Linked DNA regions of Macaca fascicularis. The protein of the gene in region 1 binds, or shares a complex with, the protein of each later gene. Links are inferred from orthologs where the notes say so. Each region holds a gene or a part of one and is shown on either strand. Other genes may lie near its edges.

Region 1 (3,911 bases):
GACAAATAAAAGCTACTACTAACATACTAATGTTGACTGTGTGTTGTGTTAATTTTTGATAATTTAAAACTTTAAAACTCAGACAAATCTAACTTCAAAAGATTTTGAAGTTACATTTTCAAATTTTCACAATTTATCTAAAGTAATTTAAAAACTTGCAAACTTATTTCAAAAATTTACTTGAAGCTTAAATCTTAGTTCATATTATTTAGCTCATTATATAAACTTTACAGCAGTGAGGTAAAAATACAAGAAGTGCCATTAATTCTCTCTCTACATCTCAATTCCTCCTCCCTATCTCAATGATCTTATTCACTGACGAACACAATTTTTAGAAGAATGCTTTAATACAATTAAAAATAACTTTGTGAGTACCACTAGCGTATGTTTTTTTTTTTTTATTTTACCAACTTTTTTCAACCACCTATGCTAAACTTTGTCTCTTGGTGAGTTAGTTGTGAACTTAATCCTAAAATTACAGAATACACTTAACGTTTATAATCACTAGCTAACCATACATTTCACTGAATCTACAATACTAAGTTTCAAAATGTAACCGTATGCTTTATGGGTATGAATTTGCAGCAAATAAAATATAAGAAGTTATAAGACATTTCTAGTCATTCTAGTGATTTTCCATGTTATCAAATTCTATAGTAATCTCCCCATATCCTCACTAAGTCACTTCTAAGGTAACCAATTTTAGTAACTTCGTCATATAAACATACATCTAAACATAAAGGCACATAATAGGATTTTTCATTTTTCAAGGTGATCCAACTCATTTTCCTACTTTAAGTGAGTAAAAACTTTACGTCACATAGCAAGGGATTCAGTTATACATTTCTATGCTATATTGTCTGTGATCATAACTAGCAAATTATATATTTTAGAGATGAGGGATACTGACTTTAATCACAGAGAGCTGATAATGATTAATTCAATTATATTCAATTATATCCCAGGGTTGTACCATGCTTCATGATTTGATGCTATTTATACTCAAAATTGAGATGAAAATGTAATATGAAGAGATGAATCTGAAACAGTAAGTGCCTCGAGCAGAGAAGGCTTCATCGAGAAAATAATGTATAAATTGGGACTTGAAGTTTGAGTAAGAAAGATGAGATAAAAGAAAAAGGTCTATCAGGCAATGGTATGAGTGGTACAAAGAAGGGCAGAGAATGGAAAGGCACAAGTCAGCTTGTCTAGTAAATGGGGGCTGAAGGGTAAAGAGTAGAAGCATGGAGAGTGAGGTTTCACACAGCTGGGGCTGGCTCTGAGTGGGCCAAAAGGTTGACATGGACTTAGCGTTCCTATTCTAGGACTGGGGAGTACCAGTGGGATTCTAGTCAATCCGACATTAAATACAGTTTCAGGTAGTGTTATTGTTTTTTTTTTTTTTTTGAGGCGGAGTCTCGCTCTGTCGCCCAGGCTGGAGTGCAGTGGCCGGATCTCAGCTCACTGCAAGCTCCGCCTCCCGGGTTTACGCCATTCTCCTGCCTCAGCCTCCCGAGTAGCTGGGACTACAGGCGCCCGCCACCTCGCCCGGCTAGTTTTTTTTTGTATTTTTTAGTAGAGACGGGGTTTCACCGTGTTAGCCAGGATGGTCTCGATCTCCTGACCTCGTGATCCGCCCGTCTCGGCCTCCCAAAGTGCTGGGATTACAGGCTTGAGCCACGGCGCCCGGCCGTGTTTTTGTTTTATATATTTGTTCTAAACTGCCCTAGAAAATAGGGATTCACTAATAATTATCTGAATCCCTCTCTGAACTAAGAAGTCATTTCAATTTTTGTAATCTTATTTTTTTAACATCTAAGAAAAGGATGTGATGGTTATTCTTCAACATCTATACGCACTGCATCTAAACAATCTTTTATTTCATTTAGGTTTATGTGAACCAAATCTGCCTTCATGGTAGTAGAGGGGACCACATTAAAAAATATATATATATATATATATATATGTCTGTATCTCATAGGCCTTTTCCTTCTGATATCTACTTCCCCTATAAAAGAATGGAGAATGAAGTCAATGTGCCTATTAGTGGATGCCCTTTCAGAAGAAAATAGTTGTTTCCCATGAAATCTGAAAAGAAAGAAGGCAGTATCACCGAAAAAGAGGTAGCACTCACCTTCCAGACTCTCAGTTCTCTCGGATTTATTTATGTCTTCAAATCCCTGCACAGATCCCAGATCTTTATCCATTCTCTCTTTATCCACGGCTACAGAGTCTCGCGAAGTGCTTTCTAGATCCCTTTCATGTTCACCTTCCAGTTTTGCTTCACAGCGTTTCACAGACTCTATTTGAGAACTCTCAAAAGTTCTGTCTCTGTCTCTGTCCCTGTCCCTTTCAACAGAATCAGAAATTAGTCTCTCTCTTTCCCTATCCAAGTCTCTCCTTTTGTCTCTTTCTCTCTCTCGTTCTCGTTCTCGCAATCTATCTCGATCCCTGTTGCGTGGCCAATCTTTATCAGCATCTCGGTCCCATTCTCTCTGCCTTGTATCTCTCCTCTCTCTCTCGCGCTCTCTATCGTGTTCATATCGATCTCGCTCTTGAAGCCTGTCTCTGCTATCAAATGACCCAGATCTTGAATGGACCTGTCGATCTGACTCTGGAGAACTTCTTCTTGAACTATGGCTTCTTGAATCCTGGCGATCTAAAATAAATATACCATGTACAAAGAGTTATTAGCACACAATAGAAACAAAATGCTTCATTTCAGGATCCTTTAAAACATAATTTACCTTTTTCCATATTCTATATAATTTTCTATATTCCATATTATCTCTTTATGTTCTATATATTTCTATATTCTACATATATATTTCTCTATATAAATATCCATATAAGTCATTCTAAGAAAAATTCCTCTCTCAAAGTTCTAATAAATTTAAAAAAGTTTCCTTGTCTATTTCCACTATAACCATAAAATATCTTCCAAGAAGTACATAAAATGATTAGGCATTAATAGAACTAATCACTCCATTATTTGATCTCTTCCTACTCCCCTATCTTATTTTCTGTGGTCAAAAGAGGCAGCCTTGACTGCATGAAGAATAGCAGGAAGGTTAAAATCATAGGCACTGATAAGGGACTTGAACACATAAACCCTTCCACCAAGACATACTACTAAAATTCTGATACTAAACTGATTAACACTATTATATGTATTTCTATTATAATGTTGGTATTAATGTGATAACAGGTAACATTTCGATGGGGCAGCTAAGCTTTTCTTTAAAAAGTTCCATAAATTTAAGGCAACATGTAAAGTAACCAATTTAGCATTACTTTAGAATTAAAATACGTATAAAATATACTAACCTATGAAACAGTGACTAGATCATAATTCAATTTTATTACCTGAAGAAGTACTTCGACTGGGTTCTCCACGCTTTAACTGATCAATCCTAGATTTTCTCTCTCCTGTGATTTCCAGGCTTTTTGTTTTTTCTCTATCTCTTGAGCCACTGTGCAGTACTCTCTTTCGACCACTTTGGTCATCTCCACTTCGATGGGCAGAATCATTGGATGGGGAGCGAAGACGACCAGATGTGTGACTACGGTTACTTCGATTGCTCCCAAGGCTGCTGCTCCTCTTTTGATCCACAGGTTTGCGATGTGGTGCATCTTCTATAGTCACATGAGGTGTCTCTACTTTTTCCATTCGTGTTCTGTGGCATTTTCTGTGTGAGTCTTCATTGGCAAAAGTATTATTGGTGGTACTGGTGGGGGTGGCAGAGGTGGAAATGGTGATGGAAGATGTGCTGAAAGAGGTGGTGGCAGCAGCAGTAGTGGAAGCAAGAGTTGCAGGCGCAGTTGTAGCAGTGGCAGTAGCCACAGGCGGTGGAGGAGGAAGAAGCGAAGACAGAGGAGAAGGGGTACTACCAGGAGTAGCGGCGGTGGCA
Region 2 (3,562 bases), on another chromosome or scaffold:
CAAACTGTGTACCAGGGCACCTTAGCAAATTAACATGGGTGCCACACAATATTTTTAAATTTTTGAGAAAAACATAGCAACACCTGTTGGACATAACATAAACTACTACTTCGAGGTAGTTTACATTTTCAACATTAAATAGCATTATATTCCTTTCTATAACAACATATCTTTACAAAACTCGGTTTTCAGCAGTTTGATAAAAAGTACTGTGCAAGAAGCAGAGAGGAAAAGAAAATGACACTGATTCCAAGGTTTGAGACATGCAGTGTCCACAGTTACTAGTGGTGATGATGTACATTCTTATTAAGCCATTGTACCTAACTGCTTAATAAACACAAGTATTAGATAATTCTTTTGGACCAGGTATGCTGTGAAAAAAGTACTGAGGCACTAAATAGTGTCATGAGCTGAGAAAGTTTGAGAACATCTGTGCTATAGGCAAGAAAAATACAAAACGTCATTCAGTTTTTCTACCTAGAAATTTTCTAAATAAATAGTCATACAAAAAAAGGGAAAATATATAGAAACGTACATACAAAGTTTGGATTTTTATTGAAATCTTGTTAGGTATCAAACAAAATCTGCTTTCTTCAGATAAAAATATTCTCTCAGATGTCTCCAGATAACTGCTAAGTCTAAATTGGTCCTTCAATGTCTTATTTTTATTGTCCTCACAAAATGTTCATATACAGTTAAGATGTTCCCAAAAGGATTCTTATCGTGTAAAGGAGCGTACATGACGACCTCTACCACTTCCTCCACTAACAAACTTTCCTCTTGAGCCTCCACTGCCGCTATTTGCACTAGCCCAGGAAGGTCCAAGTCCCCCACGACCTCTAGAAGCACGGTCCCGAGGACTTGGGCGGTAACCTGTAAAAGAAAAAATACAGTTTTTAGTTCCAACGTCCTTTCTTTTCCAAGCATGTAAATACTAATCTACGTCACTGAGCTCAAACCAAGAATTACTCTTTTCTCTTTTAAAACTCATGTGCAAGCACTGTGAACGGGGTGAAGATTGTTGAATTATACATTTTAAACAGGTAAACTATATGGTATATAAGAATTATATCCCAAATAAAACTTGTTATTTTTTTTAAATGTGCATTTGAAACCAAAAGCTACTTCTGATGAGCAACATTCTGGACTAGATATGGTGATGTTTTAAAAAAAAAAAAGTTATGTGCTTACACGCCTAAGACAATAAGCAAAAAAAAATATGCTATATAAAGGTATCTCTGTTATTAAAATACTTTGTGGTCAGAAAGGTACCTTAAGCATTGACTTTCATTACTGAAACATAAAAATAAGAGCACAGCACCATGAAACTGTTCAGATTATACAAACAGTTCAGAAACTAAAAATTTGATTATTTTTATAGAAGATGTATATTGGGCATTTATTCAAGGATATAAATGTTAGAACTTTAAGTCTATACTCTAAAATATTCTCTCCCAGAATGAGAGTACAGCTGACCCTTGAACAACATGGGTTTCAACTGCCTGGGTCCAGTTATATGTGGATTTTCTTTCACCTCTGCTACTCCTAAGAAAGTAAGACCTCTCCTCCTTTTCCTCAGCCTATGGAATGTGATGACCTTTACGAAGATCCACTTCCACTTAATAGTAAATGTATTTTCTTTTCCTTAAGATTTTCTTAATAACATTTTCTTTTCTCCAGCTTATTTAATTGTAATACATTATATAATATATAATATATAAAATATGTGTCAATCAACTGTTTATGTTATCTGTAAGGCTGCCAGTCAACAGCATACTATCAGTAGTTAGGTTCTGGGGAAGTCAAAAATTATACTTAGATTTTTGACTGCGTGGGGCAAGGGGATGGGGAAGTTTAGCACCCCTAGCCCCCTCTGTATATATCAACAATTTAAAAAGGAAGAATTCACTTCCCTTCTCTCAGCAATATCAAGTAGCAAGGATGTATACCTGTAGAACTAAGGGGTCGTAATGGTGGAAGAGGGCCTCTGTTAAAATTGCTCTGGCCTCCACGACTTTCATTGTAATTTCCTCGAGGAGTATTCTGAGCACTCCAACTGGAGCCTCTTGTTCCTTCCCGACGACTGTAGTTTCCTAAACACAAACAGCACAATCAAAATCACTTTTTTCACAACTTCAGTTGGATTCTTTTAAATGACAGATTTTTCTTAATCTTCAACAGAATGGAAAAGAAACTGAAATTTTGTAAATTGACTGTACTATATATATAGTGGCAGCATCACAGTGGTTAAGAGCAGAGACTCTAGAGCCAAACTGCCAGGGATCAAATACTGGTTCTGCCACTTGTATTTATGTGCCCTGGTCAGCTGACTGACAATTTTCTCTTCCGCAAATTAGGGGTACTAAGAGAACTTGCCAAATGGGGTTGACGTGAGGTTATAATATGTAAAATGCTTATAAAAGTTCCTGACACACCTAATCTAAGTGTTTGTTATTAATATAAACACAGATTCTCTTTCACTCTCACCCTCCTAACTCAGCAGGTATGAAAATATGGTTATCAATCCACTACTAAAGTATAATTTCTGTAAGTATCCCTAGTTTCTAAAATCTTGTAAGGCCAGGTGCAGTGGCTCATGCCTGTAATCCCTGCACTTTGGGAGGCCAAGGCTGGTGGATCACCTGAGATCAGGAGTTCGAGACCAGCCTGGCCAACATGGTGAAATTCCATCTCTACTAATAATTAGCCGGGTGTGCTGGCACATGCGTACTCAGGAAGTTGAAGCAGGAGAATCGCTTGAAACCAAGAAGCAGAGGTTGCAGTGAGCTGAGATTGTGCCACTGCACTCCAGCCTGGGCAATAAGAGCGAAACTCTGTTTCAAAAAAAAAAAAAAATCCTGTAACAATTTCAAACAAACTAAATGTAGCATAAGAAAGCAAGCAGATTAGGCAGATCAATGGTGAGCTGCACAGAACAATCTTAAGAAAACTGTTAAGTATAATTGTGAAAATAATGTAAGGGTATTACTCAGAAAATGTATAATTCTCAATGTAAAAAGGAAAATAAGGCCAAGCACGGTGGCTCACACCTGTAATCTCAGCACTTTGGGAAGCCAAGGTGGGTGGATCACTTGAGGTCAGGAGTTTGAGACTAGCCTGGCAAACATGACAAAACCCCGTCTCTACTAAAAATACAAAAATTAGTTGGGCACGGTGGGGCATGCCTGTAGTCCCAGATACTTGGGAGGCTGAAGCAGGAGAATCATTTGAACCAGGGAGGCAGAGTTGGTAGTGAGATGAGATCACACCACTGCACCCCAGCCTGGGCGACAGAGCAAGACTCATGTCTCAGGAAAAAAAAAAAAAAAAAAAAAGGGAAAATAATTAGCCAAGACTTCTAAATTCATTCTTAGAAGTACAATGTATGAAAGGTTCATTGAAAAAAAAAGTTTCTTTCTTCTGTCCAATAGAGTACTCTGCAAACAGTACCACTAGTCCAGAGGTGGCTCAACTGTAGCAACAGGAAAACAGTTGATCTGAATCTCTTCCATCTAAATCACTTTCATTCAATATTTTAACATTCCAATATTCTAACCCATTA
Region 3 (3,911 bases), on another chromosome or scaffold:
ATTAAAAAAAAACAAAATTAAATTTGTAGCATGCACTGTAATGGCAGATGAATTATCTCTACTTTGTTTTCTACTACAAGGTCATACAAAATGCAGTCAATTGATAGATTTAAAAAATAGTAATATTTGAAAATACAACTAAAATTATTACTTTTCAGTAGCTACTGATATTAATATACCTTTATCTCACACTAGCCAAATATCAGAAGACTATTTCATGAGCAATTTTAAATAATCTTTATTTCATAACAATGATCCTTAAATAATCAAAAAATATCTTGAAGACAAATAGGTATTTAAAATCTTTTCAGGTATAGAGCTTAAATGTGATGAGTTACAAAAATTATTTATTTTACCTTAAGAAAAGTACTAGAATCTTTGTAAATCTCTTCTTCATATGGCAAATTTTCTTCTTCCTGTTGCATTTCTAGTTCATCCTTGAAAAACATAAGATTAAGTAAATGTTTTACAAATAGGGGCTATTTCTCTAATTATCACATCTTGATTAAAACTCAACATAAATACTTTATTTCCTTAAGATTTAATAAATGTTTTAAATTAGCATTGAAGTCAAACATTGAAGTCTTTGCTTTTCCCATCATTAGATCTAGCTAGTTGATTCTTTTCATAAAAAAATTTCCTATCATAAATAATAATTACTATAACTACTATTTTGTTGATTTGTCTAAAACTATTTATCTCATACACAATACTATAAATATTAGAGTTTAGTTTGAGTCATGAAAGATATGACCACCAATGTTGCAATTTTATTTCCATTAGATTAAACTATACGAAACTGCTATGCTTATAGGTCAAAAAGGTTAGAATATCAGCAACTGTATATGGTTCCACCTAAAATAATCACAAGCATTTAAGTTATGTATTATCAGAACTGCAACATATAAGACATTATTCGCGAGATTAGGTATTATTTCACTGAACTTTCTAGAGATTTTATTGAAACTATACATTCTTATCTCTATTATATACAATTAACTTGCAAAAAACAGAAGAAAGTTTTTTGGACCATAATACTTTCAACTATTTCAACTAAATATTGCAACTACAAGTTAGAAGTTGGGTTTCCCTTGAGGCTCTTTCAGAAATATTTCTACAGTGTAGTCTAGGCCATAAATCCTAAAAATATCTTGATTGTACTATCCAATATTGTCAACATGGAATAACTCCTCCTCAAAAAAGACTACTGCAGCTTCTCAAAATCTGATCCAATCAATTACTCAAAGTTTCGTGGTTTTTTTTTTCTTTTTTTTTGAGACAGAGTCACTCTGTTGCCCAGGCTGGAGTGCAGTGGCATGGTCTCGGCTCACTGCAACCTCTGCCTCCCAGGTTCAAGCAGTTCTCCTGCCTCAGCCACCTGAGTAGCTGGGATTACAGGCATGTGCCACCATGCCCAGCTGATTTTTTGTATTTTTAGTAGAGACAGGGTTTCATCACATTAGCCAGGAGGGTCTTGAACTCCTAACCTTATGTGATCTGCACGTCTTGGCCTCCCAAAGTGCTTAGATTACAAGCGTGAGGCACAACACCGGGCCCAAAGTTTATGATACACTTATATCCTCAGTCGTCTTTAAGAATATTATTGCCTAGTGCTGGTCAGGCACGATGGCTCACGCCTACAATCCCAACACTTTGGGAAGTCAAGGCAGGTGGATCATGAGGTCAGGAGTTCGAGACAAGCCTGGTCAATATGGTAAAACCCCATCTCTACTAAAAATACAAAAATTAGCCAGGCGTGGCGGTGCGTGCCTGTAGTCCCAGTTACTCGAGAGGCTGAGGCAGAAGAATAGCTTGAAACCAGGAGGAGGAGGTTGCAATGGGCTGAGATCACGCCACTGCACTCCAGCCTGGGCGACAAGAGTGAGACTCCATCTCAAAAAAAAAAATATATATATATATATTATTACCTAGTTCTTACCAGACATTATGCTAAGTGCTTCATATACATAATCTAATTTAATCCACACAACTCTTGCATTAAGAAAAGAAAATTGGCTGGGCATAGTGGTTCACACCTGTAATCCCAGCACTTTGGGAGGCCAAGGCGGGTGGATCATGAGGTCAAGAGATCGAGACCATCCCGGTCAACATGTGAAACCCCATCTCTACTAAAAATACAAAAAATAGCTGAGCACGGTGGTGCACACCTGTAGTCCCAGGTACTTGGGAGGCTGAGGCAGAATAATCCCTTAGAACCCAGGAGGCAGAGGTTGCAGTGAGCCAAGATTGTGCCATTGCACTCCGGCCTGGCGACAGAGCAAGACTCCATCTCAAAAAAAAAAAAGAAAAAGAAAAAGATAAGAAAACTGATACCATGGTCTTAATGTAACCAGTGATAACATACGCCACTGATAATTATTTTAGCACATCTTAAAATGAGGCTTTCTATCAAATTTGTTTTCCTAAATATAAATCTATCATTTGAATTTATGTTTTCTTTGACCATAAACTTATTTCACTCTCTACTTGCCTTATATTCTTCCATTTTGTCTTCATCTGTCTCTCCTTCATCCAGATACTTACGTTTCGTATTTGGAGCAGAGGTATCATAGGAAGCCCTGAAAAATAAACAGAAATATTACTCACAAACATATACAAGATGCATAAAAGTATCTATTAATAATAATAATAAACAGATTATAAAAAAGAACAAGACAAAGTTTTCCTGATTAAAGAGTATCTATTTACCCAGTTTATAAGTCATCCAAAAAGTCAAATAACTTGATTGATAATTCTGTGCTTCATTTTCATGAGAAAGCAACCAAATGAGAAAATAAGCTGCTATAAGTGATATACTGAAAAGAAACTTATATAGTATGTATTATTTTAATCTGTTTTGAGCAAAACATATGTCCAAATTGAAAACTAGAATAACGAAAAAATTTTCAAATGCTTTCTGAACTACCAAATAAATACCACTTTTAGGGTAAAGTATACTTCCTTTTATACAAATTTCTAGGCTGGGCATGGTGGCTCATGCCTGCAATCCCAGCACTTTGGGAGGCCGAGACAGGCGGATCACAAAGTCAAGAGATCGAGACCAGCCTGGCCAACATGATGAAATCCCATGTTTACTAAAAATACAAAAATTAGCTGGAAGTGGTGGCGCGCACCTGTAGTCCCAGCTACTTGGGAGGCTGAGGCAAGAGAATCACTTCAACCCTGGAGGCAGAGGTTGCAGTAAGCCAAGATCGCATCACTGCACTCAAGCCTGGTGACAGAGAGAGACTACGTCTCCAAAAAAAAAAAAAAAAAAAAAAACTTAAATATACTTATTTATTTATAGTATATATGCTAATTTTTAGTCTAACATTCCATTTTCTAAGTACTTTACAAATGGGAACTTACTATCCTCAGAAAATAAATATTTCATAATTAATGAACTGACAATAAAAACCATTGTGTCTAAAATCATTATTTTTATGCTTTTCTCAATACACTGCACACCTACCTAGGGGTATCTGTTTATTAAAACAGTAATTCTTTCACAGTTTTTTTTTCTTTTTGAGATGGAGTCTCACTCTTGTCTCCCAGGCTGGAGTGCAGTGGCACAATCTTGGTTTAGCTCACTACAGCCTCCGCTTGCCGGTTTTAAGCAATTCTCCTGCCTCAACCTCCCGAGTAGCTGGGATTACAGGCGCCCGCCACCACGTTCGGCTAATTTTTGTATTTTTAGTAGAGACGGGGTTTCACCATGTTAACCAGACTGGCCTCGAACTCCTGACTTCCTGGGCTCAAATGATCCACCTGCCTCGGCACAGTGGCTCATACCTATAATCTCAGCACATTGGGAGGCCAAGGCAGGCGTACCACTTGAGCTCAGGAAGTCAAGGCTGCAGAGAGCCATGATCACTCTACTGCACTCCAACCTATCCAGCCTAGGTAACAGA

The links.
Region 2: the proteins of ZC3H13 (region 1) and VIRMA are in contact, whole or in part, in a cryo-EM structure (PDB 7VF2), measured with the Homo sapiens proteins. The link is inferred for Macaca fascicularis from reciprocal best matches to the Homo sapiens genes ZC3H13 and VIRMA. Residues at the interface, in NP_001317494.1 of Homo sapiens: Pro1492, Leu1493, Asp1494, Val1495, Ile1496, Asp1497, Val1498, Asp1499, Trp1500, Ser1501, Gly1502, His1507, Leu1518, Lys1520, Phe1521, Pro1523, Val1526, Met1527, Arg1529, Val1530, Gly1531, Ile1532, Ser1533, Lys1535, Leu1536, Ala1537, Gly1538, Leu1541, Lys1544, Val1545; in NP_056311.2 of Homo sapiens: Leu521, Ser529, Tyr531, Gln532, Leu535, Glu536, Ile538, Leu539, Leu540, Asp541, Val544, Val547, Thr548, Ser551, Leu554, Gln555, His558, Glu561, Val562, Ser564, Glu565, Lys567, Gly570, Asp571, Ala574, Glu575, Thr577, Ser578, Glu621, Glu625.
Region 3: ZC3H13 (region 1) and METTL14 share a complex: the UniProt entries of both Homo sapiens proteins name them as parts of the WMM complex. The link is inferred for Macaca fascicularis from reciprocal best matches to the Homo sapiens genes ZC3H13 and METTL14.

Annotation. Positions count from the first base shown.
Region 1 is NC_088391.1:25,168,014-25,171,924, forward strand, and holds part of ZC3H13 (zinc finger CCCH domain-containing protein 13), read right to left. Parts: coding exon 3,367-3,911; intron 2,660-3,366; coding exon 2,135-2,659; intron 1-2,134. UniProt on the Homo sapiens protein: Associated component of the WMM complex, a complex that mediates N6-methyladenosine (m6A) methylation of RNAs, a modification that plays a role in the efficiency of mRNA splicing and RNA processing.
Region 2 is NC_088382.1:104,136,315-104,139,876, forward strand, and holds the end of VIRMA (protein virilizer homolog), read right to left. Parts: intron 2,094-3,562; coding exon 1,950-2,093; intron 874-1,949; coding exon 719-873; 3' UTR 535-718; downstream 1-534. UniProt on the Homo sapiens protein: Associated component of the WMM complex, a complex that mediates N6-methyladenosine (m6A) methylation of RNAs, a modification that plays a role in the efficiency of mRNA splicing and RNA processing.
Region 3 is NC_088379.1:123,984,439-123,988,349, reverse strand, and holds part of METTL14 (N(6)-adenosine-methyltransferase non-catalytic subunit METTL14), read right to left. Parts: intron 2,580-3,911; coding exon 2,492-2,579; intron 438-2,491; coding exon 357-437; intron 1-356. UniProt on the Homo sapiens protein: The METTL3-METTL14 heterodimer forms a N6-methyltransferase complex that methylates adenosine residues at the N(6) position of some mRNAs and regulates the circadian clock, differentiation of embryonic stem cells and cortical neurogenesis.